Xenopus tropicalis: one gene and its partner. The protein of the gene in region 1 interacts with the protein of each later gene in a biochemical or structural test. Links are inferred from orthologs where the notes say so. Each region holds a gene or a part of one and is shown on either strand. Other genes may lie near its edges.

What was found. The genes of interacting proteins can lie anywhere in the genome.
Region 2: of the proteins of akt1 (region 1) and ppp2ca, one has a biochemical effect on the other in vitro, tested with the Homo sapiens proteins (6 studies listed by BioGRID and IntAct, with this or other methods). The link is inferred for Xenopus tropicalis from reciprocal best matches to the Homo sapiens genes AKT1 and PPP2CA.

Annotation. Positions count from the first base shown.
Region 1 is NC_030684.2:99,689,387-99,694,170, forward strand, and holds part of akt1 (RAC-alpha serine/threonine-protein kinase), read right to left. Parts: intron 3,904-4,784; coding exon 3,753-3,903; intron 3,449-3,752; coding exon 3,317-3,448; intron 2,947-3,316; coding exon 2,881-2,946; intron 1,957-2,880; coding exon 1,888-1,956; intron 253-1,887; coding exon 127-252; intron 1-126. UniProt on the Homo sapiens protein: AKT1 is one of 3 closely related serine/threonine-protein kinases (AKT1, AKT2 and AKT3) called the AKT kinase, and which regulate many processes including metabolism, proliferation, cell survival, growth and angiogenesis.
Region 2 is NC_030679.2:26,542,223-26,547,106, reverse strand, and holds the start of ppp2ca (serine/threonine-protein phosphatase 2A catalytic subunit alpha isoform), read right to left. Parts: upstream 2,650-4,884; 5' UTR 2,352-2,649; coding exon 2,250-2,351; intron 1-2,249. UniProt on the Homo sapiens protein: Catalytic subunit of protein phosphatase 2A (PP2A), a serine/threonine phosphatase involved in the regulation of a wide variety of enzymes, signal transduction pathways, and cellular events.

The sequences.
Region 1 (4,784 bases):
TAATGGATGGTCTTTTGACATAGCCAGGGACCTGAAGATTTAGCAATGGCTTTGTCCTTATTAATTTGTGTGTTAATATGAAAGGGTAAAAAGCTTCAACAACTCATAAGCACTGAGCACACTTACCTTTAAGTCTCTGTAAACTACATTTTTCTCAGAATGAAGATAATCTAAAGCAGAAACAATCTCTGCCCCATAAAACCGGGCACGATCTTCAGAGAATATACGTTCTCTTGATAAGTGGAAGAATAACTAGAGAAAAAAGAAAACTATTGAATCTTCTAATAAATTAACCCTTTTCCTCTGTTAATTTTAAACACAGAGTATTCTTGTCCCATTGTACTGTGGGCAGCATGAGGATCTGATAGGCTGAAGTACTGTTAACATTTGTAGGAGTCTATTGGAACATATGATTTACAAGCACAAACGTGTGCTCTGGGGGTGTTTGGTATCCGAGACCTAAGGCCCTATGACCCACAGTGAGATTAGAGATGCCCACAGTGAGCCCATGAAAAATCCTCAATACCATGGAAGACTAATCTCTCTGAAATGCCTTTCCACCAGCAATAATATGAATCGCTGGTGGGAAGGCATACAGATCATTAAAGGAACAGTAACATCAAAAAATTAAAGTGTTTTAAAGTAATTAAAATATAATGTGCTGTTGCTCTGCAAAAAACTGGTGTTTTTGCTACAGAAAAGCTACTATATAAATAAGCTGCTGTGTAGCCATGGGGGCAGCCATTCAAGCTGGAAAAAAGGCACAGTTTACATAGCAGATAACTAGTAGATAAGCCCCATATAATGGGGGTTTATCTGTTATCTGCTAAGTAACCTGTGCCTTTTCTCCTTTGAATGGCTGCCCCCATGGCTACACAGCAGCTTACTTATATAAACTATAGTAGTCTTTCTGAGGCAAACACACCAGTTGTAGCAATGGAGGGCAACAGTACATTATATTGCTATTACTTGTATACACTTTATTTTTTTGGTGTTACTGTTCCTTTAAGTTGCCAACATTCCCTCACAAGGAAACTTTGGCCAATTTCAGTAAACCTATGCAACGCATATGCCTTTCCACTGGTGATTTACTGGGGCCAAACGATCGAATTATAACGACTGGAATAGGTGCAGTCGGTTCAGGGCAACACGGAGCAGTTTCTTGGCCTGTGTATAAGCACAGGCCGATAAACTATCCCTCCTCTCCGATCTGATCTATGGGGTGTCTGCACCCAGAGACACTGCCTCGCCTGGGTACAGACACACAGAGCTGATCTGGGTGCAGTGTCTCTAGTTGCAGACAAACCATAGCGCAGATAGGGGTGAAGGGGCAGTTTCTTAGTCTGTACCATAAAAATATGAAGAAATAAAGGAGGGGGAGAAAAAGACAGCACTGCAGTTTTATAGCAGTGGATTAAATACATGTACAACATGATTATTGATTGGCTTTCTGTTTTATAGCACCGGCAGGATGGTGGTTAATAATATACAATATAATAATAATATAATAACACATTTATATTACTGTCAAATCTATGGCACATAGGGGGTGAACTTCATGCTGATGTAATGAAAATACCCGCTCCCCTCTGTGAGTCACTTACCATCAACATCAATATGAAGCATAGCCCTGCTTGAGTAAACATTACCCAAAAATGTTCGCCATTATGGTTTCTGGCGATAACTGCAGCTCTGAGCTGATCTGCTGCACTTCCCAGTACAAAACCCCTTGGCGGCTTTGTGCACCAAAACTGACCTTCTTTTGCCTCATATGAAAAATGGCCCAGTATCAGCACATATCAGACGATTCCCCCAATGCACCAACTTCAGTGCAGAGTAGGAAATAATAGAAATGGCAATAGAAAGATAGATTTACTCAGTACTAACCTCTCCTCCATTGGCATACTCCATGACAAAACATAAGCGATCATGTGTCTGAAAGGAATATTTCAGTGCCTACAAGAAATTAAAGTTGAGTAACCAACCGTCTTCTGAACTTTATAAATTGGTGCCAAATTAAACAAACTGACCCTGCAAAAGCTGCACTACGCAAGCCCAACACCCATCATACCCATGAGATATCACAGAGGGGAAAGCCTCAGGGTCAGCCATTAAAGGAACAATAAATTCAGAGGAACGGACTGAAAACATTAAAATATAATACATATTTACTATATTGCCACAGCAATAGCAGCAAGTTAAATGTAGGATGCTGTTTTAAAAATTATGGATAATCTGTTACAGCTTCCATACTGGTTTCTCCATAGGCCAGAAAAACAAATTATTAGTAAACAGCATTCATTTTTATGTCTACAAGGACTGCAGTTGTTGTGGCTGCAGTCGAAAGGTAAAAATCTTACTTGCTTACCTTTTAACTTTAATCGCTTACCTTTTACCCCGGGCTGGTGCTCCTATTAGGAGAAGCCACATAAGCCCAGGGAAGCTGCAGCAAGTGTTTCCTCTTACTTCTTTCTTCTGAATCCTGGGGCCGGCGCAAAGACAGAAGAAGGAAGGAAACACTCCTTCTTCTCACAGGAGCACTAGCCCAGGGTAAAAGGTAAGCAATTAAAGTCTCTGGGGGTGGCTTACATTTTGGCACCCCCCAGTGACTTAGTCTTTCCTTCTCCTTTAAAAGCTGCTGTGTAGCTATGGGGGCAACCATTCAAGTTGAAATTGGGCTATAGGCTATATAGTAGTTAACAAATGAGCTCAATTAAATACAATGGTTCTAGTTCTTATCCAGGGCTATCAAATAGCCATAAAACACACCCATAATTATGGTGGTATCTTATGAAACCAACTTACAAGATATTTACATACATTTTCCATGGTAACTTTATTATTAATGCAAAAAACACAATGTTTCTATTTAAAACTTACTGTTAGGAAGGGATGCCTAGAATTCTGCAGGACGCGGTTTTCTGTTAGCGTGTGAGCTACTTCATCCTGAAAAAAAGAAACATTTAAGGTACAGAATACTCATTCTAGAGCAGATTTCACCAAGCTGCTGACTGGTGGACTGGAATTTATCAATTCATTAGGCAAGCAGCCACTCTTATATAACAAGTGTGTTTTATCTTCATAAAATAATATATCCATGTTGCTTCAATTTAGTGGTGTCCTGCTACTGAATTTGCCATGGACACTGCATACCTCAAACATTTTTTTTTATTTAAAAATAAATAAATAAATGAATGAAAGATCAAAGACAAGCACTGTCTCGAGGAATGAGAATAAGAGCTGATACAAGAAAGTGAATGCTATAACCATTCCGGGGAGAGAGAGGGAATTCCTGGAGAAATTCCGGGTCACTTACCTTTGCAACAATAACTTCTTTTTTTAAAATTTTCATAGCGTAATATCTTCCTGTTGCTTTCTCTTTGACTAAAATAACTTTCCCAAATGTTCCTTTCCCCAAAAGCTTGAGATACTCAAATTCATTCATTGTCTGTTGAGATTAAATAAATGTATTTGTAATTCAACACTCTGTTAAATGGTACCAATTCAGATAAAGCAAGGCCAATTTACTGATCTAATAACATAATATAACCATCAGTTTTATAGCTGTATGACATCCTTGCATACAATATTAGTCACATTTGGATAGGGAATTCTGTGCTTGGTGGGGCCACTGAAAGACAGCGGAGTTACTAGGATAACTTGTCTGGCTCCATTGTTGATAAATATAGTGCCATTTAATAAAAAAGCCCTTACTTACAAACCTGTACATTTTACATTAAAATGACACTTACTACTTTATGTTTTGGTTTCGAATGAGAAACTTCCATTTCCTCGGCTCCAGAGTTATCGCTTGGGGAGTCGCCAGACCGAACCTCCATCATTTCTTCTTCCTGTTTCTTAAGGTTGTCGGCTACATGTTGTATAACCTGAATCCATTCTTCCCTTCAATGAAACAATGAAAAAATACACATGCATTGCTGGAGAAGTGTGAGTAGAGTGGGGCTTATTGACCAACATATGGACAGTAACACCGTTGTTTACCTTTACCTTGACAGCTGCAGGTAGAATAATTAAAGTAAAATACTGAATAGTTGGCATAGGTCACTTCCCCATGTTGGTAAATAAGCCAGTGAGTCTGATGTGATGTTCAAGGAAGGAGAACTCATACTTTGAAATGCGTTTATCCTGATCATACGCTTATACTTCCATCCCATCTGACCCATAGGAGCATATTTATTATGTATCAGTGGTTTTTTTTTTTTTTTTTAACAAAACAATTATAACCCTACTGCTCAGTAAGAATATAACATTAGTGATTTTGTCACATTTGCTTTTTTCATTCCATGTGCTCTAATAACACTGGCATGTTCATCTGCTTTGGTCAGTGTGTCCAACATCAAATTGCCACATCTTCATGCATTTTGTTTTGTTGATTTAAAAAAAAAAAAAAAAAAACACATTCTTTTTGAGCTGGAAAGAAATGCTGACAACTATTGACTTTAATGCATTTTGTGAAATGTTGATCATCTTCACATCACTGTGCCATAGCATAGTTGTGCAAGTCTTCTCCTTTTTTGAATAGTCAGGTAGTATGTTTGTTTATTACAACATTGTGCCAAGCCACAGTCCCCAATTAAAATAACTGTGCCAGATACCCACTGAGGAACAGGTAACTGACACAATTCACTTGTACATTTGTTGTAGATAGTCTTACCCCTTTACTGGAATAAAATACTGGTCTTCCTATATTTTTTTATCTTTCTTCCCAAAATACCAACTATTTCAATTCATTCAATTGATATCATTCATCCCTATCAACAAGA
Region 2 (4,884 bases), on another chromosome or scaffold:
TATGTATATTTGAAAGCGGTTTATAGTTATTTTATATTTCATAGTAAAGTTTCTTACATGAAGATATCCTTTTAATTAAGGAATTGCGAGTATGGAGGCCCATTAATCCTGCCCCATATCCATGTACTATGCATAGTCTGTCAGTTTTTAGCTAGAGAAGGCTTGAAAAAGAAAGAGTTGCAGCTACATTTGCTTGAATAACCGTCACGTGATGAGAAAAGAAAAGATTGCTTTATGTGGAAAACAGTGACAAACACTTATTATTGCCTTTCCCGTGGTGCAGTGGTAGAGACTTCTCTAAGCAATGCAGCTGCATTGTACATCCCAGGCAGGCAGATCTTTCTGCACACTACACAACACTGTTGTAAATCTGCGAATAGACATGACTTTTGGACAGAGGGGGATTTAATTAAGCTGATGGAGGTAAAAGCAGCACTGCCCATACAGTCAATAAGCCACACTTCTCCACAGAAAGGGTCTACTTTGAGCTTCTCTGTCCCTTTGCCAATACTGTGCATCCCTAGTACCAAATGGACCATGCCGGCAAAAAGCAATCACAGGTTATTGGCCAGCTAACAATGGATTTCTCACAGCATGCCTATAAGTAGCCTCTCTGTATCCCAGCTGTAACACCAATTGGTTTGGCTGCATTTTTCTACTTAAGCAACAGCTGAAAGGCCCACATGAACAACCCGCTTCTTGTACAGCCTTAAAAATGGCTGGCATAGAGCAGAAAATGAATGTGAGCTCAAAAAAGGCTCATAGGAGCAGAATCAAACTTTAAGAATCCTTTGATAGACACTTCAGCCTTAAGTTTATAGTCCTGGCACTAAGAAAATTGACTTTTATTTATAGATTTCTGAACAATTCTAAAATATTTGTATGCACTTCCTAGCAGTGCTGTTTTCATAAAATTGCACGTTTTACATGAGCTTCGGAGATTCTTGGCAAAGTTGCCATACCTTGTACATAATTTACCAGAGTGAGTAACTGTGTGGCCCGCCCTATTAGATGCAGCTAGCTACAACTATGGCCATGGAAAACACACTGGAGCATGATTGCACCACAATATTGGCCAATGTACTCAATCACTGTCCTGCGGCCCAACATCAGCTGAATCTGGTACTAACCGCAGCTAGCTACATCAGGAGGGACCACAAGGGACAACATCATTCTTATAATCCCTGGGCGTAAATAGAAAAACATCAAAAAGCATACCACCGCCAACCCTGTGAACTCCTTTTAGATTGCAAGCTCTATTGGGCAGGGCCCTCTTTACCTCTTGTGTCAGTGATTGGCTGCTTTGTATGTAAATCTGCATGTTTGATATATATACCTATTTATTGTACTGCCACTTATATGTGATTATAAATAGAAAGCTCTGCATCTATTCATTTTAATGAGAGATGTTCAAATGAATGTTACCTAGCTCAGTGGCTGGCCAACCTATACAGCAGCACACAAGGAATTCCCACCACTCTTTTGGACTGTGGCATCTCCACCAACACATTTTCCCAACAAGCCATAGATCAGGATTACGTTAGCCCGTGGTTCTGGCAGAATATGGCCTTACTTTACTACAAGGAGCCGTAAAGCACAACGTTCACTGTACCAAGAATCCCCATGACCCCTGCATTCCCTGTAACATTCCAAGCAAATGGGAGCGCGCCGCCGGCCGAGGCGCGCACTAGTAGTGACACGTCCTGGCGTGCATGCGCATTCCTGCGGGGGGTGGAGCAGCCGCCATCTTATGAACGACAAAAGGCGCCATGAGCTTAGCAGCCCGAGCCTGCGCCCACAGAGCCTCTCGCCGGGAGTGGGACGTGCCGAGTGCAGCTCACACATGGGCGCTGCTGTACAGCAAACACTACAGATACTATAGCCCCTGTACGCTAGCCCCCCGGTGTCCGTAACACGCCTTCCCACATATATTAGGGCGATAGACATATATAGTACGTTTCATGTGTCTACCAACCAGCCTACATGTTGTATAAAGTGTATAGCAACCCGTAATAGCGAAAGATACGGCCTCCATACGGAATAATGCGTTCCCCAATACGGAATAATGATCTCCCCCGCAAGACCTACGTGCGCTCCATGTTACTGCCCACAAACCGATATGACGTTAGGAACTACCTACTACTATTGATGGCTGTAGCTCCACAGCAGGCTAATATATATGTATAGTTCTAAAATAATCACGGCTGCTACCAGCAGTCTATTTAAAGTTGCCATTGCGCCACCCGTACCTTCTCGCACAGAGTCTTGACCTGGTTCTCCGATAGCTGCTTGCACTCATTCAGCTGCTCGATCCACTGATCCAACTCCTTCGTGAACGCCTTTTCATCCATGGCTGTCTAAGGAAAAGACCGGCGGCCTAGGGAGGCAGTCACCGGGTATGCCCTCGGAGGGACCAAGAGCCAATGAATGGCGTCAGAAAACCAACAAGTCGACCGCTGCTGGCAGGGGTGGGGACCGTCAGTTGAATAAAATACGGAACCCAGGGGAGTGCCGGGATCTCAGGCGACAGTATCTAAACGGACACAGTCCAGAGGGCTTCAAAGCGCCTCGTAAGAGGTACAGAGCTAGTAGAGGTAATAAAGAAATAACGTTATCAGACAGTCCGCTGTAATTTTGCAGCTACGGCTCCTTCTTTCTCAGAGTGTACTGTACAGTATAATGGCCGCCGTGACGTCACGAACCTCTCCTTTATGGCTCCACACCTCCTCCTCAGCCAGTTCCTTTGCTTCTTCGCCGTACGTCACTTCCTAGAGATGTCATCGGAAGCTGCGCTCATCCCCACGCCCTTATGGATCCGAGTCTAGTCGCATGGGCGTGGCGATAAATGATAGCGCTCAAGTGCAGTCATTGAGAGAAAAGCCTGGAGGGTGGATGGTTTATTGCAGGCCCAGTGACACACACAGACAAAATCGAAGCAATAGCTATTGATTTAATTATTATATATTATAATCATATTCTTAGGTCTCTATACCAGGGGTCGGGAACCTTATTGACTGAGAGAGCCATAAACACCACATATTTTAAAATGTAATTCCGTGAGAGCCATACAATGGCCAACGGGAGCTAGGCCGAAGGCCGCGGATGCTGTGGGGCAAGGTAGGGTGGGTGTCATCTTTAGCTGTTCAATATGGCTTGTTAGTGGTATAACTAGAGGGCTACCTAGCACAGTGCACAGTTGGCTTCTCTTTGTAGCCCCAACAGAGACATACTGGTCACATTTTATTTTCAATTCAAGCGTGACAGGTTTCTGCTCCAATGTCCCTCTCCGTTCCCTGGGCCCTGGTTCAAGTGCAACCTGGTAAGGATGCCGGACGCGGAGGAGGGCGTGGCCTGCGCTTGGCGGATAGAAGATGTGTTCTAAGGCATAGAACATGTCTTCTATCCGCTAAGCGCAGGCCACGCTCCACATTATTTTTTTTTATTAAAGATTTGGCAGGGAGCCAGATGCAGCCATCAAGAGCCACATCTGGCTCCCGAGCCGTAGGTTCCCTACCCCTGCTCTATACAATTAAAGCGTTTCTTTCTTCCAAATCTGCAAACAAAGCGTTGCGTTGTTAATTGACTAATAATTTCATATCTAGAGGAATCAAACCTATTTTGCAAGTAAAAATAATACAACTCATTTGGAAAGCCTGATATCGACACAGTGTAGGGTATTTTACGGTAAAATACCAGTAAGGTGGTAACCTGACTAGAGTGTGTATAGTTTTATGGGGTTTCCTTATGTGTATGTGTTAAACATCTACTACACCAATGATTCTCAAGCTTCCTAATGCCGCGACCCTTTCATACAGTTCCTCATGTTGTGGTGACCCCCAACCATAAAATTATTCCTAGGACCATTTGAAATGTGTGTTTTCCGATGGTCTTGGCGACCCCTGTGAAATAGTCCCGACCCACAGGTTGAGAACCACTGACCTACAGTAAAGTGAATTTTCAAAGCACCAGAAATCAGCATACTAGATTGCAAGACAAAAATGCCTGGGTCAGTAAACTTACCAGAGAAAAAACATTTTTAAAAAGTTTACATTCAGATGAACTCAAAATAGGTAAATATGGGCAAATACATCATTTTTACACCTATATGCTTGTTTTTATTATTACTCCAAACTTCAAATCTTTGCTACAGATGTTGGTTTGTCTGAAAATCAATGCAAAGCATGCAGTATACATGATGTTATCTCTCACATTTCCTCAGGTACAAGAATAAAACATCCTATACGTGAATGCCAGGGTCTTCTGAACAATTTAATGACCAATATGAAATGAGTAACTAAAATATGTGACATGTAGAGAGCCCAAACTAAAATTAGTGCATAGAATTTTTTATGGCTGTAATTTTAGCTACTGCAAAATCAACACACTGGTTGCATGTGTGATAAAAGCCCCAATGTGGCCCCAAAGTAGTGCATGCAACATTTCACGGCTGACACTTGGCTACAGCAAAATATGCACATTGTTTGCAAAAAAGGCAAAAAAAGTAAAGAAGAAGAATTCCATAAAATTACAAAAAATCTAATATTACCATGAAAACAATAAAAAATAGTGCAATTTTGAATGCAAAATTATAAAATGAACAAACAACTGATTCACATGCATCTTTTAACCATTAATATACTTTAAAAATTTAAATCCCAAAGAATTTTTAAAGTATATTAATGGTTAAAAGATGCAAGTTGAGTGCGTGGCTCCAAAATACAGTAGCTACAATCATTTAGAAAAAAATCTAATGTGCTTAATTATTTTTTTCTTCATTGTGTACAACACAGGAATCTACTGAACTAGTTTACAGTATATCTGTTTTTTTCATGATCACATGGGAATAGTCATGTGACCTCCCTGCTCTGGAGCAGTTGGGGTCTG